Linked DNA regions of Bombyx mori. The protein of the gene in region 2 purifies or fractionates together with the protein of the main gene of each other region. This does not show direct contact. Links are inferred from orthologs where the notes say so. Each region holds a gene or a part of one and is shown on either strand. Other genes may lie near its edges.

Region 1 (17,102 bases), on a different chromosome or scaffold from region 2:
TATGTGGCCCTCCAAAACGTCTTCCCCAGCTGCTGTCATACTTCCTGCCGCTGGTGAGAGTTTAATATTGATTTAAAAGCTTAAAAATTTGTACATCTCATGTTTACCCTGGTTATGTTAACACCTTGCTGTCCAACCACTACACTGCCACTGCAACTACAGGGGTGTCGGGCGCAAAATAGCGGCCAACGGCCGGTCAAATCAGAGTGGTGTCGTGACCATATCTTCGGAATTTAATGAAAGTAGGTGAACAGGGTTGAGTCTCGGAGAGAAACTAAGTCATCTGAATTAGCACTGCTGATGCCAAGCCAATACATTTTTATGAGATGTGAGGATGGCAAAGCGTTAATAGCTGATAATATTATTGCTTTCAGTATTTTGACTACTGAAATATTCCATTATTATGCCAGTCACAATTTATGCTTAACAATTATTACCGATATTAATTATGTTTAAAAACCTGACAGACATTCCTGCGTCATGGAAAAATGAAAATAAGAAAATTACAGTAGCAGTTCTACAAGAAAATGTAAGTGAAGCCACGGAAGTCATAATAAAAATAAAAAATAACAAAATCAAAACAGACATCTGTGACATATTGAAACATCATTTCTATAAAAATTATGTAGCAGTCGGTACTATACTAGTGTATTATTATTTTGGTAAAAGATTGGAGATAGAAGTGATCACTGTGAAGTCCAAAGATGAAAGTGATAACTCTAGTAAAGACTGGTTTGTTCTCAGTAATGAAACAATTTGGAGTATGAGTAAAGAATCTGAACCAAAAACACAAAAGAAACCAATTTCATTAGGTGGAGTTGATGATATTGTGGAAGAAATCCAGACATACATTAAAATATCCTTTAATGAGGCTGGTTTAAAAGCTAGTTTCCAACCAACTAGAGGATTACTTATTTATGGACATTCAGGGATTGGGAAAACTGCCATCTGTAAATACTTAATTGAGAATTTCAAATGTTTCCATGTAGAAATAAATGGACCAGCAATATTTAGCAAATATTTTGGAGAAACAGAAAACACAATGAAAAGTTTATTTGACAAGGCCGTTAATAATCAACCAAGCATTATATTAGTTGATGAAATTGAAACTATATGTCCCAGGCGCTCATCTGGGAGTACTGAACAAGAGAGACGCATTACTTCAGCCTTTGTATCATTTTTAGACAGTTTACATGATGAAAATTGCAAGGTCTTTGTACTAGCTACAACCAGAAAGCCTGAAGCCATAGATCCTATGTTAAGGAGGTTTGGAAGATTAGACAAAGAAATAGAAATACCGGTTCCAGACAGAGTGCGGAGGAAAGATATCTTGTATAGCTTACTGAAAAATTTACCAAATCAGATGTCTTCGCAAGATATTGAGACAATATCGGATATTGCTCATGGATATGTAGCTGCTGATATAGTGAATCTGTGTACACAAGCTGCCATGAAATGCATAAAGCGTTCAGCTAAAAACATTGAGAAGGAGGACTTGATTGCAGCAGTGACAATAGTCAGACCAAGCGCTATGAGGGAGCTTTTAATAGAAGTACCTAATATTAGATGGGCAGATATTGGTGGTATGGCAGATCTGAAGTTAAAATTACGACAGGCTGTCGAATGGCCATTGAAGCACGCTGAAAGCTTCAAGAGGCTGGGAGTGAAGCCTCCAGGCGGAGTATTGATGTATGGACCTCCAGGTTGCTCTAAAACTATGATAGCTAAAGCTTTAGCAACAGAAAGTGGCCTTAATTTTTTGTCTATTAAAGGTCCTGAACTGTTTTCGAAATGGGTGGGAGAATCTGAGCGGGCTGTCCGAGATTTGTTCACTAAAGCACGCCAAGTGGCACCGTCTGTGATATTTTTTGACGAGATGGATGCCATAGGCGGTGAAAGGGGTGCAGGGGAGGCCGGTGTGCATGAACGAGTGCTGGCACAACTCCTCACTGAGTTAGATGGTGTTGTACCTCTAAATTCTGTGACTATTTTAGCTGCTACCAACAGACCGGACAGGATGGATAGAGCACTACTTCGACCTGGAAGACTAGATCGATTGATCTACGTGCCTTTACCGGACATAGAGACGAGACTACAGATCTTGGAACTGAAGCTTCAAACAATGAGTATTGGTGACGATGTTAACCCTCATGCTTTAGCGTCAAGAACCGAGGGATTTTCTGGAGCCGAGTTGAATGCATTATGTCAGGAAGCTGCTTTGAGGGCTCTAGAAAAAGATCTCGACTGTGCAGAAGTTACTATGACTTATTTCGAGGATGTTTTAAGAAACTTTAAACCCAGAACACCTCATACATTACTGAAAGTCTATGAAGAATTCTGTCTCGGGTAGAAATCTGTGTGAAACGAAATGAAAGTGCCTTATCTTATTTTACCATTTATATTTACTAATCAGAAAACAAAACTATTTGTATAGTAATTATGTATTTATATAAATTAATAATTTAATCTAGTCCTTATATTTTACAGAATAAGTCATAAGTTATAATAAGTTGACAAGTCAACATTTTTATAATATTGATTTGATGAATACAGATAAACTAGTGGTTCTTTGTTATTTTAATTACAAATACTGGCTTGGTTTCGTCATTACTATCAAATGCCGACTAAGGCTCCATTGTTATAACGAAATTAACAACAAATTTGCTTGTCTGAAATGCGAAAATTTTTCTATCATATTGTTGTGACCACCGGTAAATGCATAAAATATACCTAAGTGTTGAAGCTCCACGCGCGCCCTCTGTCGAAGGCTGAAGGTTGCCGCTATGTCGCAAACGTCATTACAAGTCAAGTTAAATGAAAATTGTATGGAGTTGGACAAAACTTCCCTTTGTTTGCCACTAGGGGCGCTGTTCCAACTCCATACAAATTGGAGTTAACTTTTACGCGATTGAAAACGTTAAAAAACTCGCACTAAGTACACACATAGTTTTTACGGCGATCGTATATAATATAATGGAGGACAACACACAAAGAAAAATATCTTTACAGACTTAGATAAATGAAAAGGAATAAAATGAAGCAAACAGATGCGTAAAGTACATATTATTTTATATTAGCGATTTATTTTTTGTACACAACACACAAAGATGAATTTTGTATTAAATGCAGATCTTGTTTGTTACGAGTTACTTGTAATGAGTTTACTAATGTAATCGTTAGCTTTACAATTTTCGAATTTGAAAGAAATGCGATATTTTTTCGATTACATTTTTAACCAAATCCCACTAAGACCACAAACAATAAACTAATATTTTTTGTTTGAAAAATTTTACTCCAAAATTCCTTAATTTTATAATATTGGAATACAGGAAAAATACAAACAGTTAATTTCAGTCTTTTTTTTTATTATCATGCCAAATAAGTCACTGTGCTGTAGCAGCCTTTGTAAGTAAAAAAAACGTTTTTTATTGCGTAGGAGTGACGGACCCACGTCTCAGCGCCACCCACGGCGTAGTTATCAGAGTATGTACCTTATATTCCATGGGGAGTGCTCTGAGAAATTGTTTGAGATGATACCAACATCTCTTTTTTACCATCGCCCGCCCGCCACCGGAGTAGAGTTCATCCATACTACCTGGAGCCACTGCGGTCACCCACAGTGCGCTTTTCCAGACATTATTTTTGCCACGTACCATCCGACTATGGATTGGGCTCCCCTCCACGGTATTTCCCGAGCGCTACATGTCCTTCTTCAAACGAGGCTTGTGGAGAGTACTTAACGGTAGGCAGCGGCTTGGCTCTGCCCCTGGCATTGCTGACGTCAATGAGTGACGGTAAGGACTTACCATCAGGTGGGCCGTATGCTCGTCTGCCTACAAAGGCAATAAAAGCCCATAGACATCACGTCGTGATTAGCGTCACCCGTCCTAAACCACGAAGTCGAAGTATCAGTTGTATCAGTTGTATTGTATAACGATCATCTCGCTCGTACTGCAATCTGAATAAATTTGAATTTCTTCATTTTCCTATATTTGTGCACTTTCACAAATATTTAACGGTTAACAAACCGCAGTTATTACACATTTTAAATCTGAAGAAACACTAAAAAGACAAAACAAAACAAATCACACAATTTCACTCCTCGCGTTCCCGCCAAAAAGTCATCTGTATGTAATGAAGTTGTGTGCGGGGTCTAGTGCAATGTGTATACCTAAGTATCGGAGTCAAGCTCAACATTATCTTGGCGATTGACAAGATATTGTCAGCCGCGAGCACGACACGTTTACTTTTATTACCATTTATAAATAATAGATTAGTGTAAAGAATGCACCTTCGAGTTAGGGGGACTCTGTTCGAGAAATGTTTGTGGAAATTTTGAAATTATTATAATATCATTCATTCAATTTAAATCATACAAGTTTGTCAACGTTCACCAATAATTTTTTTGTATTCAAGGTTTTGTATTCAGTGTGTTATTTAAATTCCTTTAATTTTTGTTTAATTGCTAAATTTCTCTCAACCTTAAAACGCACAAGGAGCACAATTAATTAAAGTTGAATAAAAACAGGAACTATTTCTAGAATTCTTAGTTATAAAATAATTGAAATGTTGCAACTAAAATACCCGTTCCAACAATCAAGCTCGAAGGATCATCTGTTGCGACCGTCCGATTCTAAGGACTATATGTATATTGTTTAACCGACTGTCGTCTACCGTCAAACTACACGCCGGCTTCAGGGGTTACAGTCCACACGACTGCACACCGGATTGTACAATCAGGATATATTCAGACGCGCAGTATCTCGGCGTGCCGGTTGTAGCAGATGGCGATCCAGTCGGGTTGTGTGGCGCCCCACTGGATCTGGTTGACCTCTCCCTCGGCGGCGGTGTAGGCGAGGATCGGGTCCTCTATGGCGCGCGGCATCTGCTGTATGTCCCAGATGAGGGCCTGGTGGTCGTCTCCGGCGGTGCAGATGTGACAAGAACTGAATTAAAAATTTCACTTTAAAACGAACCGAAATAACACAAAAGAATTCATACTATTCTAATTGTTTTTTTTCTACCTATGCTGAGAGCTTTGAGAGGCTATTTCAGCGTAACTTTAACTAGTAGGTGAGCTCACGGGGCTCAAACCTGACGACGTTGCTAACACGAACCCTAGCAAGAGCCGTGCTTCGCAGAATCTACCACCGGATCGGAAACGCGACCCACTGAGAAGATCCGGCGAGTAACTCAGTGGGCTGTGTCTGAGGGTTAAAATTTTGTAATTATTATTTATTAATAAGCTTTATGAGACGTATGTATGTTAGTTTGTATCGGAATCTTTGAACGTGATTTTGACCCCCTTCAAAACGTCGGTTTAACTCGAAATTTGGCATACTTATTAAGGATCGATGACATTTTAATATTAAAAAAAAAAATTTAATTTTTTAAATTCAACTAAAAAATGAAAAATAAAAATAGTTTAAAAAAAAGTTATAAAAAAAAACACGTTTTTATAGAAAATCCAACTAAAAAATATAAAATAAATTGTAATAAATTTGAATTAAAAATAGTGTAAAAAAAATGATTTTATTTTAAAAAACACATTTACAAACACAACAAAAACAAATTTATTAAAATTTGTTTTCTATTTTTTAGTTGGATTTTCTATAAAAGCGTTTCTTTTGTTTTTTTTAAACTATTATTTATATTATTGTGGTCCGTTCACAATACAAGGAGCATACCTTACGGACTGAATTAGAACAAAAGTTGGTGTTTTCGGCTGCACAGTCTAGTTTGAAGAGTTCTAAGAACTTGACGACAAGAACATTGTTTTTTTTATTGCTTAGGTGCGTGGACGAGCTCACACCCCACCCGGTTGTTAAGTGGTTACTGGAGTCCATAGACATCTACAACGTAATACGCCACCCACCTTGAGATACGAGTTCTAAGGTCTCAGTATTACATTATCTTACAACAGCTGCCCCACCCTTCAAACCGAAACGTATTACTGCTTCACGGCAGAAATAGGCATGGCGGTGGTATTTACCCGTGCGGACTCACAAGAGGTCCTACCACCAGTCATTACGCAAATTATCTTTTGCGTATAATGCGCTGAGGAACACAGTCCCAGAGGAGGAGATATCGGATGGGCTTGTTTAGCAACCTTGATGCTCCTACTTTACTACCTGGCCTACGAACCTGTGCGGCGCCCAGGCGATGCCGTTGACGCACGCCCTGTGGTTGTTGAGCCTGGCCACCGGGGTGCAGGGCACGCGCACGTCCAGTATGATCACCTCGCACGCGTCCATGGCGATGGTGGCCAGGTAGTTCGGGTCCTGCTTGTTCCAGGCCAGGCGGAGCAGCGGGGTGTGCTGAGGGTCCTGCGTGTTACATTACAGTCTGCCATAAGACTTGTTATGTTGACAGCAGCTTCTCAACATAAACACGATCAGACCAGTTCGTGGCGCTCACAGGCAAACTGCACGGGTCCTCACAGACGACTGTTTTGCAGCCCGATACTGCAGATCTGTGATATCGATCTTACTACCTACAGTGAAAATTCCGCAATTTTGCCGATTCTACTTTGCTGTTTACGGCCCTCGTAGTGCTAAAGGGGTAACCGGAATCCATAGATGTGTACAAAGTTAATACCACCACCCACCTTGAGACATGAGTTCTAAGGCCTCACTTTTCACAGTACAACAAGAATAGGTAGGGTGGTGGTACCTATCCGTGCACATTCACAAGACGTCTTACTACCACAGTACATGGTCAACTAACTCGGACTTAACGCGGCATTCCTTCATTGTGTTAGTCATTCGTGCCGCAGGCCTCTTGAATCTTTATCTTTGTCGTATCACTCTTGTTAGAGCGATCGTGGTCGTTATTCAGCATTATTGCTGTGGGCAGATGTTATGCGCCTCACGAGGAATCGCCACTCTTCCCGGTTTGTGGTGAGCCTGGTACACTCAGGCAAACAGCCGCCAATAGCTGACTTGACCTGGTCAGTTTATCGCATGTGCAACTTTCCACGCGGTCTGGTGTCTTCTACTTTGCCCTGAACGATAAGGCGCTTTATGGAGTCATTTACTCGCCGGGAGACATGTCCAAATAATGATAGTATGCGCCCATGCACGAGCGCCGAAAGACGCTGCTTACTGCCTCCTGTACTTACCTCATAAATGATGGTGGAATGTTCTAGATGCCTGAGGTCGAACATCCGGACGGATCCGTCGGCGCCCACGGAAGCGAACATATCTCGCCCCCCGCCGGCCCTACTGAACGCTATGTCGTACACTTCCTGCGCACAAACACCGGCATTAGGGCTGCCGTACGCGAGAAGTTGCATGTGGCGGGTAGCCATCACACGACACAAGATATTTGACTGATGCCCGAATCTCGCTTACGACATTTTCAAGCTTGCTATAGCTTAATAAGCTTGCCTATATGCAGGTTCCGAACGACCACATTCGGACCGTCGAACCTTTTTTTCGTATACCCCCACATGTATATAAAGTTTTGTTCAGCCACCTTTCTCTAAGGCGAGTTAGACAAGGACAAATTATTGTTCAAGTAACCATCACTTTACAGTGTCTAGCAAGATGTACACGCAGAGTGCATCTTGTATTATGTCAAGGTGTATAAAACCAGATAGGGGCGTATACGTTCGGCTTTGTTTATTATTATTTATTTAATGCTTAGATGGGTGGACCAGCTCACGGCCCACCTGGTGTTAAGAGGTTACCGGAGTTCATAGACATCTACAACGTAAATAACGCCACCCACCTAGAGATATGAGTTCTAAGGTCTCAGTATAGTTACAACGGCTGTCCCACCCTTCAAACCGAAACGCATTATTGCTTCACGGCAGAAATAGACAGGGTGGTGGTACCTACCCGTGCGGACTCACAAGAGGTCCTACCACCAGTTTTGTGTATGCTAATAGATTTTTAATGGAATCTCCAATAGAATAAAATTCTATTAGTATCTGTTGTGAGCATCCTTGAATATACTTCACACTACATGCTTATGATTACATTAAAACTTAAAATGTTATGTGATCATTATGAAATCGGGCACGTATGTAACATGCCCATTTCAATCCTGCAATTCTTTAGTTTGATAAATATGTATCATGTCAAAATTGTAATAAGTGATTTAAACATATTTGAATACATTGATTTGAAAAAATTTTTTTTTCAACATATTCTTGTAACCTCGAGGGGTTATACTAGATTCGCAGAACGAAAATTTTTTGAAGACACCAATAATCTTCAGATAATCATTAACATAAATTTTGGACACAAATGAATTAACAAGATCTTCTATTAAATAAAAATCACAAACCTTATCATGAGCGATCAACTGAGTCTTCACGTGCCCAGACACTTCATTGACCCTGCCCAAGACCTGTCCAGTCTCCAAGCCCCAGATGGTGCAGGTCGTGTCAATACTACTGGTGCCAATGAGGTTAGGATCCACTTCGTTCCAATCAAAGGATGTAAGAGGAGCACAGAAGTCAGAATTCTTATTATTATTTAGGACACATTCGAATAATGTGTACGGCTCTCCGGCACGCCATATGCGTAGATAATCACCTGCAACATAAGGCACCATTGTGAAATTTTATTGAATAGTTTTACTTGAATTTGATTATTTATCAAAACTGTTTATGTCAACGAAAGTTGCCTCTATTAACATCACAATCATTCATATTGTACTCATAGGGTATCACTTATTTTTATTTATGTAGATTGATTATTATTGTTTGCATGAGTGTACCAGGCTCACCACAAACCGGGAGGAGTAGCGATTGCTTGTGAGGCGCATAACATCTGCCCTCAGCAATGATGCTGAATGACGACCACAACCGCTCTGACAAGAGTGATATGACGACAAAGGAGATAGACAGGCTCAGTTAAGTACAATTCAGTGGTTTATGGAGCTCAAAGACTATCATGAATACTGTTTCTCTAGAGAGAGATGATATTGTAAGCATTATTTTTGGGAGTATATGTTTTTGTCTATGTAGCAGTGTAAAAGTAAATTCAAGCCTCATTATCTCCATATTAAATATGGTAATCTTAGTGCTAACAAACTGCTACCGAAGTCTTACCGCTAGTTGCCAACAAGTCTGGATACACCCCCTTGCTATCAGGTATCCACATAATCTTGGTGGTCGGGTACGGGTGATCAAAGGTACTTTTTGCAGTGAACTCACTTGTGTCTTCATCAAGGGAAATTATTTGTACCTAGGATTTAAGAGTTTTATTAAGCTTATGTCATGCACAAGGAATGCTACAATACAGTATGTGTGTTAAATGAAACCATTAATATATTAGTTTTCACTAAAAATCCTTCAATGTAGTGAAAACTAATAAATTCATTTATATTAGGTAATATAAAACAATTTTTGGCAGACCCCTTTTTAAAATGAACTGATACCTCAAAACCCCATACCCAAATTATTTAAAAAACCCTATCCCTAGTTCTTTTCCTATTCATACAACATACTCACCAATTAAAACCTTTGCGGTCAAGTTATTGTGTGTCTAAGTGGGTTATATATCTTGGGAACTCCTGGTTTACTTACTATATGTTTGTATATTATGCTAAACAATTAACTAATTAGTAGTATGTAGTTGAGTTTTTACTAATTTAATGGTGGAATTAAGTAAGTAATATTATGCACCAATAATTACTTAGAATTTTTTTTTTCTTGCTGTATTTGTCTACTTGGTCTATAAGAACAGCCTCCACAAACTAAGTGCTCCTACCAATTCTGTCAACTACTGAAAAATGAACAACAACAAAAATATGTAATTTATTGTGTATTTTCTTTGGTAATATTATGCATTTATAGATTATAAGGCACACACCTCTATCTTTTATAATTCAATGAGTGGGAAATTTTTGACAAATTGACTTCCCTAAAATTGCATTAGCTTTGCATGATTCATTATCTGGGCCTTTATACTGTATTTACTTAATCCTGTTGGTATGTTTTGTAAATTACTAAATTAATATAATAACTGCTCTGTAAAAGCTTACTTTATTGTTGTATTCCTCAACAAAACTGCCCAGGGCTAACCTGAATCTCTTGTCAGGTCTGACAGACCAATTCATTGAGTATAATGGCCATGGCGCTTGGTATCTGTAAAAGATGTGTGACATAGAAATGCAGCTGTCTAGCTTATAGTGTTTTTTTTTTATCACAACTTCGTTTATGAGAATTTAACCTAACTGTATGAACAACTCAAATTTCGTACGTAATTATCAAGATAAGGCTGTTTTTGCAATTTGTTAACATCACTTTAGTTCTTTTCGGGAATTGTGAAAGGATTATCTGTATATTTCAAAACATCTAAAGCATTAAATTAGTAAGTCCCATAATGCCTGCTTGATTGTATTACAAATGTTTCGAAACATAGGAATGGGTACAGAAATAAATAACACGCTATACCTAATTATAATTAGCAATCTCAAAATTGGGTCAACTCTGTATTTTATACTGTCAATTATTTCCAATCTGTTATTTATAGTTCATATTGTGTTGTAACGTTACTTACTTGTATATTTCTTTACGTTTCGTGCCTGAACTGGTACTCGAACTGCTGTGTGGCATCGACATCACTGATAATGTTTAATGTTTCTGAAAACACAAATCAAAATGATATTTATATGAAATTTTAATGAATAGTGACTTTTTTATTTTTTTTGTCTTTCAAGTACGTAAGTTTTCATACCTTTCAAGTTATATTTTTTAGATTTTTACATATGGTTTTAAATTTACAAAAAATATATATTTTATGTACCTTTGCCGTAATATCACAGAATGGCCACCAAGCGGCTTTGTTATGTTTGATTTAAATATACCTATTTAAATATTGAACTGTCCATGAGCTTCTGTACCTTCAATTAATGTATTTTATAATTGGAAATTAACTAAAAACTTAGTTTTGTGTGGAGAAAACAAGCATGAAGCATTATTTTTACAAAATTTGACAACTGGCAAGTAGGACAATCTGACATTTTAATTTTTTTTCGTTTCGTTTTTTGACTAGGCAACGGGAATTTAGCATCTGCGAGTAAACCTCATCACTACATAGTATAAAACAAAGTCGCTTTCTCTGTCCCTATATCCCTATGTATACTTAAATCTTTAAAACTACGCAACGGATTTTGATGCGCTTTTTTTAATAGATAGAGATTGAAGAGGAAGGTTTATATGTATAATAACATCCATTAAATAGTGGAGAAATCAATAATCAATTACAGTTTCTGAAGCAAGGGCGGGTCCCTACTTTAGTATATGTCGAATCTCTGTTAGTTGTTAAAAAAGTGTAATGAAAATTATTTTATGAATGAAAATGAAATAATTTAAAAATAAATTAAATTGGCTGCAATAAGACGAAATTGGATTTGAAGACATATGCCTGGTAAAAATTCAATAATGAGTAAGCTACCTATTCGAAACTGAATGAGTAGTAAAACCAGGCTATGTATAGAAAGTTAAATAAACGACAATATCCACAGATGTCCACTGTTGAACAAAGGCCCCCCCAAAGCCTCGACACAACGACCGGTCCTACACTGTCTGCATTCGGCGGATTCCCGCTATATTTAACAGGTAGCTGGTCTGCCTTGTGGGAGCTCCACCCAAGCTACATCTTTACACAGTCGCCACTCGAAAGCGTTTCAGCCATAGTGGCCATCTGTTCTACGAGCAATGCTCTGCCCACTTCAATCTCACAATTCCTTCGGCTATGTCAGTTATTACGGTTTTCCTGCGAATTTCCATATTCCTGATCTGATATCGTAGGTAAAAAGGTTCTAAATTTCTTACGTTTTCTATTATTGTGTATAATATTTTTTTATTGCCTAGATACCTGGGCAGTCTCAGTTTCTTAATTAAAAATTAAGGACAGACTTATTAGTTTGTATAACTTTTTAACTCATAACTATGTTAAAGATTATTATAGATACTTAAAGTGCCCGAATTTAATTAATAGCAATAAAGTACACTGGCAATGTAAAACTTTTTATTAGGCGCTTTGTTCGAATGCCATGACGTTTCGAAGAGCGTCTGTCTGCTCGCCTGAGTTGTGTGTTCCCCATTTCGTGGTAACTAGAAACCAGATGCAATAGAAAACGGAACGTGATTACATGATAACAATCTTCAAAAATGAAAACGAAGGCCCCAATTAATTTTTTATAGCCTAAATCTGTAATAAACTAAAACTAAATTTTAAAATAAAGAAACAAAACAGTTAAAATATAACATATTATGACTGCTTTGTCCCATAATGATCCACGTGAGTTAATTACACCTTCCATCGATGCTGATCAAATTTCAGGAATTGTTAAAGTAACGGATAGTTCTGTATCCGTTATCCGTATTCTACGGGTTTAGAATGTCGGCCACTTAGGTATACAAAGTTAAGTCTATTGTATCATTAATATCATTCCAAGTTCGGAAATCAGCAAATGCTATCCGAACCAAATCCATAATGGATGCTATATTATTATTATTATTATTTATTACGCTGGTAAACTATTATGTAACTGGTCCCTAATGCAGTGGCCAGTGTGGTAACAAAGAAAGCGTGACTCGTCCTTAACCGAAGTAATGGCGTTCATGCGCTGAATTCGTAAGGTCGGGTTAGCGTAATGGAATGCGCTCTGTTATACGGGACTTTGAAAAACTCTTTTTAAAAAAGATTTTATTCACTTTGAAGATACAAAATTCTACTTAGAAAGAGTGTGGCTCATAGTAACGACGCAGAGTGACTGACATCGAGCCAACGGGGCTCTAGTATATGTTAGGCCGGAAAGTGCTGCTAGAGGCACTTTTCGGTCTTAGGTAAATTAATTAATATACTAGTTAATATTATAACAGCTCCCCCTTTAAGCGAAAACTTACGGCTTTCCGAAGTTTTCGATGATTATTTTAATATAAAGTTTAATGGATTCTTATTCGCGGTTGGGTATTTAGTTGAATATTTTCTTGTGGGGGTGTGTTTATTTGCGTCGTGTTTTCGTTTGGTTTAGATTTACGCACAAAAGCCACGCACTTTCTATGACAAAAATAATAACATATAAAAATAACAAATAGTATTACAAATAAGTATGTGACAATGGAATGGGGAGTGCTTATCGAAATAGATTCGTTCTGAGATTTTAAATGTTTTAAGGTTTGTAGCATGTTATCAGCTTTGTTGATTATTTGGTCTAAATTATTCGATTCTAAGTTATGCAGTCCTGTAATAGATTCGGTATAATTATAATTTTCAAACACTGCTGGGTTACAACATGTATCGTTTACTAAATTGAATTCTGAGTGTATGTGACTGAATTTATATTCAGGATAACTTTTACTTATTAATTTTATGTTTTTGCAGAATCCAGTGCAGTTTGGTTTCAGGGATAATATGCCTGTTCCTGAAACTATATATTCGGTAGTTTCGTCTGTGCACTCAATGTTGAGTTTAGTGGGTTCAGATAGTGTGAAGACCCATCTATTATTATTTAAGGATTGCCATATGTTGGCATGGCCGTATAAAAATTTAGTTTTACACTGTTTCGGAAGTGATTTCAAGACTTTTGTCATTATTTCTGTTTCACAGATGGGGTAGTCTTGTATATCTATTTCATCTAATTGTTTACAAATATGAGTTTCCTTATTAATAGATTTACATTTAGAAAGATTATCGAGTTTAAGATACTTCGATTTTCTCTGATTTAAGGCCACATAAGAACATGTAGGTAGTATTAGTGCAAAAGATTTGGATGTTACATTATGGGGTACTGGTATAGGTACTGTCTTATACAAAGTATAAGTATCAATGAGTACTAGAGGAATTTTAAGACTAAATATAAGCTTATTTTCTAAAATACATGTAATAATTTCCGAGAGATTTATAAGTACATATATGTTTTCTAATTCTAAACTTACAGCTAATTCCGAATATCTAGGTAGATATTTAACATTGTTAACAAGGTCATAATACAAATCTTTGGGTGTTATGACTGATGGATGTAGCGTATTGGTTTTTGAAAACAAAATTGAGTTTATGATGTCTTCTAGTTTATAGGACAAGTTTAACATATTTGATTGAATAACATTTATCATGTCATGTATTGTAGATTTAAACAACAAGGCATTACTTGCCTTTGTTAGGTTTTTAATACTGGAAGATAGGTTTTCAATCATTTTGTTTAATTTATGTTCATTAGTGTTGATTTCAATTATGGATTCGTTGAGTGTTATAATTGCCGACTTGGAGATAAGGATATTTTCTTTTATCAAATCTAGAGTTTTTCTATTATTATCTTTAAGTATTTGAATGGCTTTATTATACCTTATAGCATCATTCTCATCCATGGTGCCTATTATATGTTTAAGAATAGTGCCGATGCCGGAAATCCACGCAGACCTCTTTGATTTACTTTGGATAAGATGAGAAATGGCGTGGTAGTCCCTTGAGATATCATTGAACATAGATAAAAGGGGCATGAACATATTCTCGCACTCTAGGTCGTCAACCACATTGTTTTTAGTACAGAAGTATCTGGCTGAATGCAAAACCGTCTGAATGTTATCTATATGGGGTTTAATGTAGTCTATGTCCATTGGTACTAATACATGTAAATAATCACTAATTATCCTAACAGATCCCGAGGGATTAAAGTAAATGCCAGGGCTTTTCGTAATTTGTTCGATATTGGTAATTTCTCGAGTGCGTGATAGGCCTTGACATGGTGCCGACAGGCTGTAAGAGAATGTATTTATTATTATTTATGTTTTACGATAAATGTTTTTAACTTAAAGGCTACTGAGTTAAGTTATACTAGAGAGGAAATAAAACTAATAAAATAATTAATCATATTAATTACACAATCATACTTATTAGGTTTCAACTTCTGCATGTTTAATTTCATCATAATGATGTCTTACGTGTCGTCGATTTATGAGAAGGGAAAGTGTGTGGTTTCCATGTATTTTTACCACTTTGTATGGTCCTTTCCATAAGGGTGATAATGCTTTCCGTAGACGTAAGTGGTTTTTTAGATATACCATATCACCGATTTTATACGTGGAAGGGCGAGACCTTCGGTCATAATAGGTTTTGGAGTTTTCTTTTGATTTCTGAATATTTTCTAAAGCTTTATCGCGTGTTAATTTGAGGCGATGATTTAGCATTTTAACATATTCATGATAGGTACCACTAGGACTAGGATCGTAAATAGAATCGGGTAGATAGGGTTTATGGCCGAAGAGTAATTCGTAGGGTGTGAATTTTGTAGTAGTATGTACATTAGTGTTGTAGGCTAGGACATAGGTGTAAACATATTTGTGCCAGTTGGTTTGATTTTCGTTAACGTATGATTTTAAATATTCTTTTAGTGTAGAATGGCTCCTTTCCAAGGCTCCTTGTGTTTGAGGATGGTAGGGCGAAGACCATAATTGTTTGATTTTGAGGAATTCACAAGTTTTCTTAAAAAGGTCGGCGGTGAAGTTTGTACCTTGGTCTGTTAATATTATTTTTGGTATTCCGAAAAGAGATATAAAATGTATGAGACATTCGCAGCATTCTTCGGCTGAGGCATTACTAATAGGGTAGGCAGTAGAGTATTTTGTTAGGTCGTCTTGCAATGTTAATATATATTTAAGCTTAACTTGACCAGTTTCTGGTAATGGTCCGACGATGTCTAAGGCGATGCGTTGAAATGGGGCTGTTGAACTAGAGGTTATCTGCATCGGTTGCCTGTTTATTTGTCTTAGCGCCTTATTCGTTTGACACTGTATGCACTTTTTCACATAATTTTCAATGTCTGATTTCATATTTTTCCAATGATATTTTTCTTTAATACGATTATACATTCGTGATGTGCCTACATGACCAGCGATGGGAAGGTCATGATTTTCTTTAAGGATTTTTGAAATCTCGCTAGGGGCTGGAAAAACTACTGAGTTTTTGTAGATTTTAATTGTAATATCTGTGTTGTGGAATAAAAAAGCAAGAATGTTATATATTTTAGAATAAGTTGGTTTAAAGAATGGATCATTAAAGTCTGATATAGCAATATTCACTGGAATGTCCTTTTCTATAAGTAAATGATTTCGGAGATTTTGTAAGGATTTAAATAGTTGAGGGTACTGAGGAGTGTCGAAATGATATACTTTTGTGAATAAAAAATAATAAGATTTATCTTTAACATTCAGGTTAAGGAATGAATGTAAGGTTCTTTCTTCATTAAGGAATTCAGAGATATTTTCTTGGTTATTCAGGATTTCTTCAATGTATGGATTAGTTTCATCGAGGTCGATGGATGTTGGAATGACTATGATTTTTGAATCGGTTGATAGTAATGAATTTGCATGTTCGCAAATTTTAGTATTGTAAGTATGGTTATTATTTGATAAAGTTTTCAGAAAGTCTGTATAGGATTCACAATTTGGTTCGGGACTCGGAAGGTTAATTGATGGATTTCTTGGTAGGTTTTCATCATCAATCATAGGGTTGGGAGTACTGTTAGTCGGAGGATTTATGTTATCATTGTTATTAAGATTGCGGTCATCTATTTCATTTTCAGGATTGAACGGACTGTTTGGTAGGAGATCGATATCTTGAAGGGGTTCTAGTGAAGGTAAGTTGTAATCATCAGGGTTAAAAGGACTTGACGTAAGTAAGCCGTCTAGAGGAAGTGTTTCAAGAGGAGATTCACTATTAGATGTGTTAGAGTGATGTGGATTTTGTTCGGGTACAGGTTGAGAAGAGATCAGAGGGTCAGAAATAGGTAAGACGGGAATTGGGTCAGAGTTTATATTATTTAAGCTTCTGACAGGGTTGACGGGGTATCTGGATAGTGCGTCTGCAGCTGAATTTAATTTGCCTTTTTTATGGGTTATTTCGTAGTCATACTCTTCTAATTTCAATCTCCATCTTTGCATCTTGCTTGAGGGGTCTTTGTGGTTAAAAAGCCACTTAAGTGGATTATGATCGGTTATGATTTTGAATTTTTGACCATATAGGTAAGGTCTAAAAGTTTTGCACCCATACATAATTGCTAATAATTCTTTTTCTGTAACATTGTAATTTATTTCACTTTTGTTTAGGGTCCGGGATGCGTAAGCGATTGGCTTATCTCTATTT
Region 2 (17,069 bases):
TTAACAAACACATTTTCTTAATAATTAAAACCAAAAATATGTCGCTGGAAAATTTTGAAGATTTCTTTACTTCATTTTTTTGGATATTTAATAAATATAATATTATATATTGATAACAATACGCTCTTTTAAGTTTAAGTCGTAACACGATTATGTTTCTATCACCCAAAGTGTCCAAACCAAAATCCCACTACATTAATTAGTCCACGGTCAAGTTTGTTGGTTTTTTTAATCGACAAATTAATGATAATTATAAGCGAAACTTTTCTATACCTTCGGTTCCCATCGTAACAATTTTAAATCTTATCAACTAGCTTTCAACACAAATAGCTTCATTATAAGAGGATCAATGGTGTTTCGTAATAACAAATATAGAGGACCAACATACGAGCAAAGAAATCGATGAAATTTATCAACATAATATACCACATACAATATCTTCAATGTACAAACACTTCTGTTTCATTATATGTTATAAATAAATTACACATACAAAATTTGTTTTTAAAAAAAACTACATTATAATGTTTATATTTCAGCATTTCTTAAAAGAAAAGCATTATTACCAATTAGTTACTTACATATTTTTTTTCTACTATGGTTACCAATTCATATTTACATTCCTGGCAGTGACCCGCTGGTCTCAATTTATTTCTTTCAAATTTATATATATATATACAATATACTAAATTTACACACAAGCAATAAACTAGAATAATTTATTGAAACAATTTAAATGGCATTAGGTGCGTAAAGCTCAGTTACAAACGTCATTAAAAACAATATAATTTAATTATTGAACAGCAAATAAATATAAATTAAAATTAATTCCGATTCGATAAGTGTGATGTTAAAAAATCACTTTTTATAATAAATAAATAAATTAAGGAATAAATAAAAAAATCATTAGCTTATATATCATAACTTTTACATTTACTTAGGTATACAGACGATCATACTGCATGATCGCTGGTTAACGTCGCCCATGCCGAACAATTCGAATGCCATGTTCAAGATCATGCACTTGGACTGTCAACAGTAGTACTAGATTTTATAGATAAAATATAACTAGGTCAGTCTAAATCTAAATTTCAACTACAGTAAAGCGAATACAAAAGAACCTTCCGTTTTAGTCTCAGCGCTGTACACTTTAGTGTTTTCAGTTTCCAACAAATTGAATTCTCCCATTCCTATTGCTCTAAATTGTACATATCGACGCTTGAAAGGCAAACGTGACTAAGCGACGATAACTGCTTTGTACATAAATGATAAGCAATAACCATATTCGATGCGCAAAAAAAAAATATAGTTCTGGGTCTATTAAAATCATTTCAATCCTACAGCTACTAGCTAGATTCTACTACAGCTAGATTCGTTAAAATAGATTTTTTTTCATGTATTTCAGCTATAAATTAGTCTATTGTAAAGTTCACGCATTGTCGCTTAGTCACGTTTGCCTTTCAAGCGTCGATATCTTCTCTGAATAGTATAAAAGAAATACAAGGCATGTTTCGGTCTGTCTCCCGCTCACTTCTAAGACGCGCAAATTTTGATACCATCTTGACCAACCGACAAATGAAGAAGACTTATGCATGTGATTTGTAAATACTTTAACAAAATGACGAAGTTACGTCAAAACAAGCCTGTTCTCACTGCCGTAGATGCGAGCGGAGAGCTAGCCTATGTCTAAACTATGTATATATTTCCGTAAACGACATCGGGACTTTTTGGCGGGGACGCGAGGAGTGAAGTTGTGTGATTTGTTTTATTTTGTCTATTTAGTGTTTCTTCAGGTTTAAATGTTTAATAACGGTATTTATTAACTGTTTAATATCTGTGAAAGTGCACAAATGTGGGAAAATGAAACAAAGCCGCTGGACGTAACTTCCCGGGATCCTCCAAAAAGTCCTAATGAAAAAATCTCAGTAAATGACCACCATTTTACTGAGATTACCTTTCATCCCATATCATCTTATCTCATTTCATTTAATTTCATCCCAGTTGATTAATGTCTCAAATTAATCATCTTCACTTCATTTCACTCCATATTATCATTTTTCATAAAAATTAGAACATAAATTAAAATAAGACATGACTCAAAGGTCTCAGTTACCAGCTCATAAAACCCCCTATATAAAAAAGTAAACAACATCGCGGTCAATTTAAACAACAGCAATACCTTTACGCTTTCAAAATAACGTATTTATTACGTTTAGGTTAGGAAAAAAGTTAAAACGACACAATACTGCCACATTAAGTACAATTGTAACTTTAAAACGCAACTTAATTATCTTATGTAGTCCAAAAGTTCGAGAAGCAGTAATGACGCTTAGTGCACTGATCCCGTACTAAAGTTATCGCCGTTTTTTTTATTGCTTAGATGGGTGGACGAGCTCACAGCCCACATGGTTTTTAAGTAGTTACTGGAGCTTATAGACATTTACAACGTAAATGCCGCCACCCACCTTGAGATATAAGTTCTAAGCTCTCAGTATAGTTACAACGATTGCCCCATCCTTCAAGCCGAAACGCATTACTGCTTCACGGCAGAAATAGGCGGGGTGGTGGTACCTGCCCGTGCGGACTCACAAGAGGTCCTACCACCGGTAAGGTATCGTGTTGAGAGCTTTGTTATGCTGGAGCGGGATCGGGTGTGCTCTGGAGATCAAGGTCGCGCGTCGTTTGAAGATTCAACGTCACTCGAGCTGCTGGAAACCGATTTCTTCGGTTTGTATTCGGTTATGACAACGGTAACGCCACTCACTGTTACCTAAGAAGAGAATATTTCAGTCAAACAACGCCGCTACTGTCCCGGCTATTACTTACTAACTTATGACGTCACTATACAGATAGTTTATTTCATTGTTGTGTAGACGGGGTGGCCGTATGGATGCTTCGCAGCAGAAACAGGTCATTAAAATATATATTATATTCTTTAAGCCTGGTTATTTTGGTAACGATATTAGGTCGAAGCAGTAAAGTTGTTTATATATATGGACCGTTTATTTTGAAAGTGGTGTAAGTCCATTTTCTTTTGTTTCGAGAAAATTAAAGGTTACTATATTTGTTGATTTAAAAATACAGGCAAATCATATTATTGAGGTCTGGCTATGCCGTCTACCTCTGTCAATTGGACTTACACCACTTTCATAATCGATGATTATGCAATTTCATTTACCGACCGATTTTAAGTTGTAAAAAACATGGGATTTTTTGAGAAATTAAACACGGACAAAAAATTTACATTAAATTAAGCATGAATTACGTGATAGCTCATTTTTCTCAAAAATAGACTTACACCACTTCAAAATAAACGGTCCATATATATGTGTGTGTGTCAAATATATGGTAGTGTGTAATGTGTAAAAAAAATTTAGTGTAGCCTTGGCGAAATTTGTGATTATAGAAGTATAAAATGTAATCATAAAAAGTATACAAGCTTATAATTTCAATTAATTATAGTCGAATTTCGACTGCCGGGCGACCGCTAGTAAAGTTTTAATGCGAGAAGACGATATACGAGGGCTGCACTAAAAGTATCGGGAATGGAATATTTCCACTGTTCCTGTCATATTAAAATCTTTTTAATTGAAAACTCCTTGATTTTAAAAATCGAATACCATTTATTTATTTAAAAAAAGATTCTCGGTTTTGTCACGAGGTTTTGTAAAACTTGTTTAGTCGTTGAGAAAATGGAATTGACTCGAGAAAATTCAAGAGCGATGATTTATTATGACTTTCGAAGTGGTTTAACACAAAAACAGTGTGTTGACCGGATGATTTCTGCATTTGGTGATGAAGCCCCATCCTAAACCATAATTTATCGCTGGTTTGCTGAGTTTCAACGTGGACGTGTCAAGCTCAGTGATGATCCCCGTCAAGGTCGTCCAAAAACTGCAGTCACCCAAGAAAACGTTGATGCTGTGCGTAAGTTGATTGAGGAAGATCGACATGTGACATACCGCGAAATTCAGGCAACTTTAGACATTGGCATGAGTCAAATACAAATAATCTTGCATGAACAATTAGGTGTAAAAAAGTTGTCTTCCCGATGGATACCGCATTCGCTCTGTGAAGAGCAAAAAGCGGCTCGCGTTACTTGGTGCGTCAGAACTCTCGAAAGATTCCACGCAGGATCCTCAAATACTGTATACAACATTGTATCAGGTGACGAATCCTGGATATACGCGTACGAACCCGAAACAAAAAACCAGTCACGAGTTTTGGTGTTGGAAAATGAGTTAAAGCCAACAAAAATTGTTCGTTCACGGAGTGTTGCAAAAAAAATGGTGGCCACGTTTGTCTCTAAAACCGGCCATGTTACGACTATTCCTCTTGAGGGACAAAGAACGGTTTATGCAGAATGGTATGCTAGCATTTGTTTGCCACAGGTCGTTTCTGAACTCCGTAAAGAGAACTGCAACCGCCGCATCATCCTCCATCACGACAATGCGAGTTCTCACACCGCGCACAGAACAAAAGAGTTTTTAGAGAGAAAACATAGAATTATTAGACCATCCGCCGTACAGCCCCGACCTAAGCCCTAATGATTTCTATACTTTCCCTAAAATAAAGAATAAATTGTGTGGACAGAGATTTTTATCACCTGAAGAAGCTGTGGACGCCTACAAAACGGCCATTTTGGAGACCCCAACTTCCGAATGGAATGGTTGCTACAATGATTGGTTCCATCGTATGGTAATATGTGTCAAATTTCGCGGAGAATACTTCGAAAAGCGATAAATACATTTTTAAATATAATGTTGTGTCCCTTCGTTAATTCCCGAAATTTTCAGTGCCGCCTATGTAGATATCCTAAACATTCGAATTTTGTAATTCGTACCTCTCTGGTTTGGGCCGAGCTGCGGTCCACGTTGTTGAGTCTCGGCGGGTGGCGTCGTTTCTTCTTGAACGAGTTCGCCGAACGAGGCCGCTTCTGGACCGAGCTGCCCGTGGGCGCCGTGCCGGACGCTTGCGCGGCCACCAGAGCGGGGTTGAGCCGAGGCTTGCGGGTCGATGTACCTTAGCGGAAACGTCACCTGCGTTAAATGATTCGTTTGCCGCTGAAGCGCTTGTGAATTATTTTTTTTTAAGAAATTTTCTGACCTGGTAAACAAGACCTTTAAGGTCAAGTCTTATTTTAATTTTAATGATTTTTTTATTTCTTATATGGGTGGACGAGCTCACAGCCCACCTAATGTTAAGTGGTTACTGGAACCCATAGACATGTACAACATACATGCGCCACCAACCTTGAGATATAAGTTCTCAGTATAGTTACTACGGCTGCTCCGCCCTTCAAACCGAAAAGCATGACTGCTTCACGGCAGAAATAGGCAGGGTGGAGGTACCTAGCCGTGCGGGCTCACTAAAGGTCCTACCACCAGTAAACTTTTTTATATGAAAAATGATAGAAATGAAATGAAATGCGATGAAATATAATCTCAGTAAAATAGTGGTCATTTACGACAATGCCCCTGTCATTGTTGACGTCCATGGGCGACGTTAATCAGTCACCTTCAGTTGGGCCGTGTGCTCGTCTGCTTAAAAGGGCAATAAAAAAAAAGCTAAGGGGTTATTCGTTGAGATTTGAATATTTTGAGAACTACCGTCTATTTGTCTATAATAAAAGAAAATGACTCGACTTTTATTTTTTTTCCATTCACACAGAAAACAAGCTACCAGGCCTCCAGATACTGTTTGTTCTTTAGTAAACACGTGATTAAACCTCAAAAGTTATTTTAATTATGCCTGCCGGTCGCGACAACCACAGACAATACAAAAACAATGGCCGATACGATTCTGAATCAATAGTTTTCAAACAAACTAATTTAAAACGTCTAACAAACATCCTTTAGTGGGTAACCGTTGAAATTCAACTACAGAACATAAGGTCGTAAATACGATTTTAGAAACTGCGAGGAGCTTAGTACACGGCTCCCGGAGGCACAGCGGAATTAATGAATGTACCCTCCGTTAAGGGCTTTTGAAATTCTCAACCTGCACTATTAGGGTTGCCACCTTTTTTTGCAGATAAAGTACATCGGCTATTATGGGTAGGAAAAAATGTACATAATATGAAAATAAAGTACAATTTATTTAAAATCTTTTATTAATTACATCATATTTTTTTTAAAAGATTTTATAAATTAAATTTAAAAAACACTATATAAAAGTAGATTGCCGCTGATGGCGGTGTCTACGACACAAGCCACCAGTGGTTAGGACTCCAGAGTGAGAAACCTCCTCACAATGCGTGCAGTATCGAGGTAAAATGTATTTATTATTATTATGTTTAAATACATATTTTTTATTACAATTGATAAAATTAAACACGAAATTGTGACAATTAATGACAGTGACATTGTTGACATTTGAGGTTAAGTTGCGTTCAGATTTAATTGTTAAAAAAACGACGTATTTCGCCTAACGAAAAAATACATATTATGACTAAAACTTTTAACAAATAAAATCTTTCCGTATACTTTATTTTTCAAATATACTTTATTTTTCAAATAAAGTATAGAGTACAATTACCTGAAAAAACGTACAATACTTTATTATAAAGTACGCGTGGCGACCCTATGTACTATGTATAGAAAACGTAGGTTTCTCTTCGATTTTCGCGAGTCACAGATATAATTTAGAGCTACTTTTACCGTTCGATCTCGCGTTTATTATTTTCAACGTTTCTAATACTTTTTACAGTTACCGTGGTAATCACGTACGAGTCAACAAGAGTCGTCGAGAGTCAGTAGGACTATGTTTACGATTAGGAATTTCAAAATTTCCAAAATAATTTAATTGAAAAAAAAAATTTTTTTTTATTGCTTAGATGGGTGGACGAACTCACCATCCACCTAATGTTAAGTGATTATCGGAGCCCATAGATATTTACAACGTAAATGCGCCACCCACCTTGAGATATGAGTTCTAAGGTCTCAGTATAATTACAATGGCTGCCGCACTATACAAACCGAAACGCATTACTGCTTCACGGCAGAAATAGGCAGGGTGGTGGTACCTACCCGTGCGGACTCACAAGAGGTCCTACTACTTACCAGTAAATAGCTCATTATTCAAACCTCACTTGTCTATTACCATAAAAACTATGAAATATTCGGACCCATTGCAAAAATTACCTCACTCAGCTACCTTCGTACCAAAACAAACTAATTCCTTAACGCCAGATTTAAAAAAAACAATTTTCCAAATGGTCTCTCATTTTTCAATTAATTTTCTTCAGTTTGTTTCAAGAGACCACTATAACATGTCCTTCTTCAAACAAGTATTTGAAAAGTGTCCTCAGAAGTACAAGTTACTTTAATTGCACATTTGACATTACAGAATTCTGTGAGCAACACAGTAACCATTTACCATCAGTTGTCCTGTAAGAATGTGCCAATAATGAAAATGGGTAGAAAGAATAAATTAATCTTATATATGAGTCGACTATTATCAAAGCCGGCAATCTGACTTTTGGACAATGATTGGTAAATCAGAAAAACGAATTATTGACTTTGTATTCCATTGGCAGTCACAAAACTCTTCGGAACGACATCTTAGATAAATAACAGGTTAACTATTAACCTTTATTTAATGCAGGTTTTGAACCGTATTCTTTGAAGGAGACGATTATATTCAAATCAATCTGTATTGACATACCAATAAAAATTTTTGTCCAAATGCACAGATTGCCACCTTTGATAATAGACGATTCATATACAGTGTTATAAGTTTATAAACCAACATGCTGGAAATTCCCATGTTATTGACAATATTTATCGATAGTGACACACATTGATAGGGCAATCCTTGTAGTAAACATACACAGAAAGTATATCTTATACATACAAGAAACATGTATATTATGATAGAAATAAACAAGTGGTGGCAATGAGCAGCCTTATCACTTCTATATAATAAGAGATAATTTATATAGGTTAGTAAATATATGTTTCCAAAATAGAACATCAGTTGTTTTCCAGAGAGCATATCGACGCTTGAAAGGCAAACATGACTAAGTGACAATGTGTGAACTGTACAGTAGACTAATTGAAAGTTGGAATACCTGAAAACAAAATTTATTTTAACGAATCTAGCTGTAGTAGAATCTAGCTAGTAGCTGTAGGATTGAAATAGGTTTTAATAGACCTAGAAATATATATTTTGTTATGTACAAATCAGTTATTGTCGCTTAGTCACTTTCGCCTTTCAAGCGTCAATATGTATGTACATTTTTTTTTTTTTCTGGACTATGCAATAATATTGAGATCACAACATGAATGTCCTCGCTCATTAAGTACTTATTTGAATAACGGTAAGCTCTTCATACCATAACAAATGAGTGCTTTGCCAACAAAATTAGTATAATACTGATGTCTAACATCATACACTTAAAGTTATGCAAAATGCCAAATATGATGGAATATTTTAATAGCAGTTATGTATATATGGTGGTTCATGTCCATCTCATGGTATACTCAAGATTGCTTGTTGTAATTAGAAACAGCCATTATACTTTTCAGTTAAGATTTTTTTTTTGTCCAGTGTTATGTACTATTTTGATATACAAAAACACAAACCTTTCTACTTTGTATGTACAGAAAACGAAAAAATCTAAGTCAGGTCATCTAGGTAATTCGTGTTTGATGCTTTGCCTATTTTGATACAAGAACATTATAGGAAACCGTCTTGAAGGTCTACTAGAGAAGCAGCCGGTAGAAAAATGCACCGCTATAGTGAAGTTTTTGGTTACCAATTTAAAAAAAAAATTATATTCTACTACTTACTGACTTCGGTGTAGAAATACTATGATTACTTCTTTCCGTACTTTTATTGCGGAACTTTAACTCGTAATCAATGTTTGATACGTCGAGATTTTATTCTTATATGAATCTCATACTTATTCGCTCTTATTCGTAACGTCGCCCTAGACTAATCAATAATTTTCGTCCTTGGTTTAGGTTTTAGGTTAGAATTTGAATACGTAATGTGAATGCCCTTTTATACTTAAATGTCTGCAGTTCTGAGCGTTTTATTATATGAAAAGGTTACGTAGTTAATTAATAAAAAGCTCATTGAAACAATCATCGTGTTAAGATACGTGGCTCTGTGTGCGTGAATTAGATCATTTAGGTCAAATTCGTGTGCAGAATTTACATATATGAAAAATATTGGCGTTCAGTTACAGTATTTACCTTTTCTAACGTCACACATGGAACATTTGAAAGCTTCCGCGTTATTCCTGTACGTGCAAACACTACAATCCCAGTAGTTTTCTTCCAGCACTTTTGATGGCCTTTTGGCTCTTCTAATGGCATTTTTCTTGTCCATTTTAATGCATACACGCAACTAAACGTAGCTAAGACACGTCTATCATGATATTTTTGATTGAAAACTATTATTTCTAATGCACAATTGTGAATTAATGCGTCGGGAAATCATTATTTTTGTTTTACTGTGCACAAAGATTGTACACTTTTACGCCATGACAGCCGTCAATGTTACGTCGGTTAAACAGCGTGAAGGCGCCACATTCTTCTGAGCTGTTTTAGCTACAAAATAGCAATACTAGATGGCGTTATTCATGAATTAAGATTTATAAATTTTTCTTAGAATAAAATTCAAACATAATAATAAACAGCGAATAAAGTACATAAGTATATTGTTGGTTGGGCTTAATAGAAGACCGAATGCGGATATGGTCATTTTATTATTGGTCCCAAAATTCAAAAGGGCTATTTTGCGGCAAAGACAGGCAGAATGGTGGTGAACTAGTTGATAAAATTAAATAATAACGCAAACGTTACCATAATAATATTATTCTTTCCGTGGATTGTTGAGGCGGGAGGTGGATCTTCTTAGTATAAGGTCTATGAACCTAGTCTTATCTAGTCATTCATTACTTTGGAACCAAAAAGAATTAGCTGATAGCACAAGTCTTTGACCAGCCACAAAAGGGCCGCTACATTAAGTAAAGGTCAAGAACTCCAAACGTTTTAAAATTCGAAATATCTATTCCAAATGACACACCAACACTAAACCACTGAACCCAAATATCAGTCAACAAAATTGTGTACATTTTTAAATAGGTACCGATACTTAAACGCAGAAATTCAATTATGTGTCTTATACTGGTTATTTTAAAGCTTAAAATCGTTTAAACAAAAACTATGAAGCACGGTAAGCCTTTGAGAAATATTTCTATGCCGTTTCTTAGAAAACGACCCCTTTTTTGTGACGGCGATAGAAATAAAATCTCTACCTGAGTTTTACGAAAGAAGTCCTTTCATTTTTTTCTACTTGAAGCGAAATACGCGTGGTTCAAAAATCTTGGATCTTTTCACGAAAATTATCAATTTAAAACGAACGTTTAATTCTAACTTTGAATTTATTGTTTTTTTTTTTTCTAATACGAATCTAATTTCAGCCTGGCTTTCCTTGACCAATAAATATTCCTTTTTACGAAAATTGCGCGGACGGAGGCGTTGAAAATTTCCACACTTAAAGAGAATATAGAGAAGTGCACAATGCTAATATTTTTTTTAAATAATGCATAAAATATACATTAATTAAATCAATAAGGAAAACATTACACACACTACATACCATGTATTTAACGCACACACGCATGCATACTATTTATTATCAAGCTTTTGTTCTTGACGTCTGTTGTCAAATTGAGAATAGATTAAACATTGTTTGTCTTTGTTAATATTTTTTTTAGTGTAGTCTTGGCGAAATTTGTGATGATAGAAGGATAAAATACAATTATAATAGTGTACAAACTTACAATTCCAATTAATTATAGTCGAATTTCGACTACTGCGGGACCTCTAGTACAATTAAATAAATATAAAATAGTTTGTATCTCAGGAATGTGGGCAAGATAGGATCATAATAACAAATTACATTATTATATTTGCAACGTTTCGGTCTTTTATTAGACCTTCATCAGACATCATAATATGAATTCCAACAATCACTATCCTACACTGCACAATTGCCTTAGTCATCATAAATTAATACAAATCAACAAAGCTGATAAATTAGTTAATTATTATTCTTGATTTTAGAAATAAAGCAAACACGACACATAAAAATTGTTATTGCGTGACAACGGTTAGGCCAAAATAATAGCAAAAATAATAATGCAAATTTGTTATTATGATCCTGTCTTGTCCACATTCCTGAGATACAAAATATTTTATTAATAATTATGGACGATAATATTGATAATATTAAATAGATATATTCGCCGAAGGAGAACAGTCTTAACTAAGCGATTTCTAAGGTTTTCGCGGGTAAAATTAAAACTGTTTTTAAGATTTAATCTCGGGTTTATTTTCGCAGTCGTCCGAGATCACGGGGCTGTAAAGTATGCGAAACGTCGGAAGTAATAAAATAAAAATAACTAACGCGTGCTTGCACCGTAAAAGTAGTTTTAATTATAACTTAACTAAGGTCTAGATTGGAATGAGTAGCAACACTTTATAAGCTCACATACTCATGTAATCAGAACGCAAATTATAACGGGTGTTTTATTGCTAAATCTCTTTTATTAATTCGGAGAGAGAGAGAGAGAGAGAGAGAGGGAGAGAGAGAGAGAGAGAGAGAGAGAGAGAGAGAGAGAGAGAGAGAGAGAGAGAGAGAGAGAGAGAGTATGATTTTTATTGTATCTACATCAAAATAAATAAAAACACAACATTTTAAATACGAAAAAGTACAATGGGCTAAAAGCGATATCTTCCGAAAAACCATCAGGTTGTATTTATTTTTATTGCCCTTGTAAGCAGAGGATCATACGGCCCACCTGATGGTGAGTGGTTACTGTCGCCCATGGACTTCAGCAATACCAGGGGCAGAGCCAAGCCGCTGCCTACCGTTAAGTATTCTCCACAATCCTCGTTTACTTGTACTTTTTCTTCGTAGGTACATAACTCCTTCATCGCATGCAATTTCGAAAAATAGCCTTTAAGTACGGAGTCTTAAAATCTTAAAAATGCTACTTAACCCCCTTCATCCTCATGACTTCAATTAAAGGTGCGTTATATTTGTTCTAAGCATCAACAGTTCGATTTTTTAAACTGAAATTCAATTAAGTTTACCCCATTCAAATAGGCGAAGAAGTTTTTTTTGTTATGATATTTTTGTCGTCTTTTTGTTATGATATTTTTGTCGAGTTTTAAACATTAAATGGCTCTCCTATGAATTTGAAAAAATGTCGCTTATGCCACCTTTCACCCCTCGATATGTTGACCCAAACAAAGTAAGAAGTTTCAAAGCTAGTTTACTGGTGGTAGGACCTCTTGTGATTCCGCACGGGTAGGACCACCACCCCGCCTATTTCTGCCGTGAAGCAGTAATGCGTTTCGGTTTGAAGGGTGGGCAGCCGTTCTAACTATACTGAGATTTCAGAACTTATATCTCAATCTGGGTGGCGCATTTGCGTTGTAGATGTCTATGGGCTCCAGTGACCACTTAACACCAGGTCGACTGTGAGCTCGTCCACCCATCTGAGCAATAAAAAAATATATAGTTTTGGATTTTTATACACAAATTTTATCTAGCACTCTTCACTGGAAACCTTCATACTCTATAGTGCAACTTGCTGTGTTCAAGCCCACTGAGTTTCTCGCCGGATCTTCTCAGTGGGTCGCGTTTCCGATCCGCTGGTAAATTCTGCGAATTTATATTTATATTTATATATTATATATATATATACATCTCCGACTGTTAAAAAAGAAAGAAAGAGGTGTCTTAATATGGAGACCCGATTAGAAGGGAGTTCCTTTTGCTATATCTTTTTTGTGTTTGTATTTTTTGTATAGCCTTTATTGCTGATATATAAACAATGATTTTACATACAGTAGCAAATTGTTTTAACTTAAATCTAATACATCGGGTTTCCCGGTTCAGTGATCAGCGTATCCTGTGACACATAGGTCCCTTCCAGCTGCTTCCATTCTTCTCTATTGGTAGCTTTTCTGAACCAGTATGTCCCTCCAATCATCTTGATATAGCCTGTCCAGCTTCTAGCTTTCCTACCTCTTTTTCGTTTGCCATCGCGTGGCAGCCATTTTGTTATAATTTTAGTCAATTTCATTCTGCTTTCCCTTGTCATATGTCCTGCCCATCGCCATTTTAACTCTTATTTTCTTTAGTACGTCTTCCACCTTTGTTGTAGATCTAATGTCTGCTGCTCTTTTGCGGTTTTTTTGTATTTAGTAATAATTTAATTTAAAAAAGTTAAAGAGTCAGTCTAAAATAATTAAACGAATCACAAAATGTGAGTGATCTTTGCTCAGAATTCGTATCTCAAATGCATTCGAATAATTTTGTAATATATTATTCATTAACACGAACAATCTAGAATGTTTAAATTGTAAAATAAAATACAAAATAATAAAATTCTCTAAAATGTCAAAAGTGCAACGACCCCAAAACGCATTTCGTCGCGTCTACTTAAATTGCGTGCAATGTTACTAAATAATATCTTAGCAAACGCATTAAAACATTAAAGTTTCTTATTATTTCAGTAAAAAACGTAGCTAGTCAACGACTGTATATAGTTTGTAGTAAGGCGAAGTAAGACCAGGCAGTGCTTAAGACCTGAAAAGAAATCAAATCCAATTACTTAACCTTAATAATATGTGAGGTGAGTGACATTTTCTTCGGTTTTGCGCGAATTCGCTAAAGACATAAATTTAAATTTAATTGTTTTTTTTTAATAACCAAGAATAAATCACGCGCGGTCATCTGGCCTTAAATCGGATTCCCTGTGTTATAGGTACGAGAAACTGATAAAAATACATATATATTTTTAAATATATAGACATATGGATACCAAACACCTAAGCAAAGAGCAAATAAAATTGTTCATCACACAAAGTTTGCCCCATGTAGGAATCGAACCCACGACCATCGGCCCAACAGTCAGGTGCGCTTAACTACTGCATTACCGAGTCAGTCAACCTATTTTGAATACGCTTTTATTAGCTACAGACGTATGTATGTTAGTATGTATGTAACGGAATCTTTGAACATGATTTTGACCCCCTTCGGACTAACTCGAAATTGTTGGCATACTTATTAAGGACCGATGACAATTCAATATTAAAAAAATATATATTGAAAAAATTGAAATTCAACTAAAAAAATAAATCATATTTTTAAAAAACTAAAAAATTACGCTTCTATAGAAAGCCCGACTAAAAACGAGAAAATAAATTTGAATAAATTTGAATTAAAAATAGTGTAAGAAAAAATGATTTTATTGCAAAATTTTATTGTATAAATTTATATAGTGTTGGAAACGAGAATAAGAGTAATTATTAATGTTTAATAAATTACCTCAAATACTTTTTAAAGGTATTAAAAAAAAAAAACGGAGAGGATGTTTTGGCTCTGTGGTGAAACTTATTAATAGAGTTATTTGATTAAATTATGGTTGTCAACAATATATTATATAAGGTAGACAGTCAGGGAATGCCTATGACATTAAGTCCGCCTTTATACTGTCTAGTATATAAAGCTATAATACAAATAAATAAATATAGCATCTAATTTTAGTACCTACTACTAACTTAAGCGCTTTGTTTAAAAATGAAACTGTCTCTAAGCTAAGTCTCTAAGAACTCTAAGATTGTTTCTATTTATATTGTTGGAAGTGTGGTTATTGATGCTGACGTAAAACTTACCCTCATAAACGCCTTTAAATTGACGTAAGCGAAATGAGCAGCCGTCAGCTCACAAGGTTTCTGGGCCCTGCGGTGAAAAATATAAAAAAAAATTGCAATGTTTTTTTTTCGTGAAGTGCGGACTGGTTATCATTCTCGCCGAACCCGTCGCTTGCGACGAAGGGCTCGACGAGTAAATCAACCCACAGACATAGCCCACTGAGTTTCTCGCCGGATCTTCTGGGTCGCGTTTCCGATTCGGTGGTAGATTCTGCGAAGCACTGCTCTTGCTAGGTCCAGTGTTAGCAACACTCCCGGTTTGAGCCCCGTGAGCTCACCTACACGTTAGGGTGAAGCTGAAATAGCCTCAAGGCTATCAGCATAGGTAAGATAAAAAAAATTGCGCTTATACCACTATGTGGGTTGGGCGCAGAATCTCCTGTTTTTCCATTCGACCTATCATACGTCATCTCTGCACTGAGATTCTTCTCTCGCACTCACTCTTTCACACAGTCCGTCCAAGTATCTTTAGGGTACCCCCACTTCACAATATTACCTATATTTTCTATTACCGTTTCTTGCGATAGAATCGAATGGAACTTTTTGAACAAAAACCTGAATCGCACAAACTGCATTTACAAGCTGGCATGTTATATTCAAACAACAACTTTCGGTGCTTCGGTCTACTTAGCAATGTTGTTCCCTACAGCTTTACCGGAGAAAGGTTTATCATGAAGCGTCACTGACCTCGTGATGGTGAAAAGCAAATCTTTTCCCGTTGACGCTTTTTCGGTGTACCAACTGCAATTGTATACGGCATTACCGACCTCTTCGCTCTGAAATTAGGTAATAATGTAACGCCCGAATTTGGGTATCGATAGATTCGTATAATCCCACCACTATTCTATCGTAGAAAATACCGAAACAAACATTTTAAGTGCTCGTAGTGGAAGGAGAGAGATCAAGAGAATCAACTATCAAGTGCTGGCTAGATCTCCACGTGACGTGACCGGCACCAGAAATTAATGACGTCACATCACCAGACAAAGGATAAAACAAATAATTAAAACTATTTTTATGGTTTCATCTCATCGCGTCTCGACTACTGTCGCCTTGACTACCAAAACTGTAGGTAGAGTATTCGAAAAGTCTTAAATAATAAACCCGAGATTAAACCGTAAAATTTTTTTTTGTTTAGAATCGCGAAATTCTAATAAAATATTGTAGATACAAGTCATAACATTGCCTCTTATAGTAATGAATTTGAAAACAATAAATTATAGAAACTTACTGCGCTCATCAGCATATCGAAGAAGCAGAGGAAATATACTTGCATTAAACTCATGGCCAGAAATATAAGATATGTCATTACAATAGTTACGTCGTTCACTACCTGTAATGTGAGCAAACAATTGGACTTTATGATTTAGATCCCTTTGCTCAATTTTTTTGGTGCTAATCAAAGAAAACTATAGGTAATGCAAAACAGGGTATGCGAGGATTTTTTGGCGGGAACACTAGAAGCGAGCTGTGTAAATTGTTGATGTTCTTGGCCCTTTAACATATGTAAAAGTTCACAAGTGTGGGAAAATAAAATTCTCCGATTCTTCCAATTCTTCCAAAAAGTTCACTGAAGTCTCAGTAAATAACCATAATTTTACTGAGTCTTTATTTCATTCTATCTCATCTCATTTCATTCTAATAAGTTAATCACAATTTATGATAGCCTCAAATATATCAATTTCATCTCATCATATAATGTAATATAATGTATTTAATATTTGAAGATTCTTAAAAACTCGACACTGTTAACAAAGGCATTGCAAGAAGCCAATTGTTATACTTAAAAAAAAGAATGGGGCAAAATAATACGCAACAAACAATAGGTCACCAATAAATTGAAACAAGGACATAATTAAAAAGCAGTGATTAACTACTATCATCGTCTATTGTTCACACAAATAAGATAATAATAAAAAAATAAAAAAAAAAAAACAATTACCGTAACATTGAATGCGGACAGACAAATAACTAGAGAACTCAAAACAAAGTTTGATAATGTGGACTTTGAGTAAATCATTTCTAGAATACTCGACGATCTGCAAAATGAAACGTCACTATTAATTTACGCCTGTCTGTGAATTATAGAAAAAACCCTCACTTTTTTTTTTGCATAAATCGGTGGACGAGCTCACAGCCCACCTGATGTTAAGTGGTTACTGGAGCTCATAGACATCTACAACGTAAATGCGCCACCGACCTTGAGATATAAGTTCTAAAGGTTTCAGTATAGTTACAACGGCTATCCCACCCTTCAAACCGAAATGCATTACTGCTTCACGGCAGAAATAGGCGGGGTGGCGGTACCTACCCGTGCGGACTCACAAG

Evidence for each region.
Region 1: the proteins of Rybp (region 2) and DDB1- and CUL4-associated factor 7 purify together in Homo sapiens (affinity purification with mass spectrometry; 3 studies listed by BioGRID and IntAct, counting the BioPlex papers as one, with this or other methods). This does not show direct contact. The link is inferred for Bombyx mori from reciprocal best matches to the Homo sapiens genes YAF2 and DCAF7.

What each region holds. Positions count from the first base shown.
Region 1 is NC_085118.1:1,102,354-1,119,455, forward strand, and holds DDB1- and CUL4-associated factor 7, read right to left. Parts: upstream 10,992-17,102; 5' UTR 10,761-10,991; intron 10,598-10,760; 5' UTR 10,577-10,597; coding exon 10,515-10,576; intron 10,100-10,514; coding exon 9,997-10,099; intron 9,198-9,996; coding exon 9,062-9,197; intron 8,544-9,061; coding exon 8,293-8,543; intron 7,247-8,292; coding exon 7,121-7,246; intron 6,327-7,120; coding exon 6,145-6,326; intron 4,947-6,144; coding exon 4,748-4,946; 3' UTR 2,380-4,747; downstream 1-2,379. Other genes in the region: ATPase family gene 2 protein homolog A, read left to right, coding at 1-53, 468-2,350; uncharacterized protein LOC134199889, read right to left, coding at 14,855-17,102. UniProt on the Homo sapiens protein: Involved in craniofacial development. Acts upstream of the EDN1 pathway and is required for formation of the upper jaw equivalent, the palatoquadrate. The activity required for EDN1 pathway function differs between the first and second arches.
Region 2 is NC_085134.1:5,452,777-5,469,845, forward strand, and holds Rybp (ring and YY1 binding protein), read right to left. Parts: upstream 9,506-17,069; 5' UTR 9,337-9,505; coding exon 9,201-9,336; intron 5,023-9,200; coding exon 4,844-5,022; intron 2,771-4,843; coding exon 2,666-2,770; 3' UTR 2,373-2,665; downstream 1-2,372. Other genes in the region: Or-11 (olfactory receptor 11), read right to left, coding at 14,658-14,769, 15,429-15,517, 15,973-16,074, 16,684-16,780. UniProt on the Homo sapiens protein: Binds to MYC and inhibits MYC-mediated transactivation. Also binds to MYCN and enhances MYCN-dependent transcriptional activation. Increases calpain 2-mediated proteolysis of YY1 in vitro.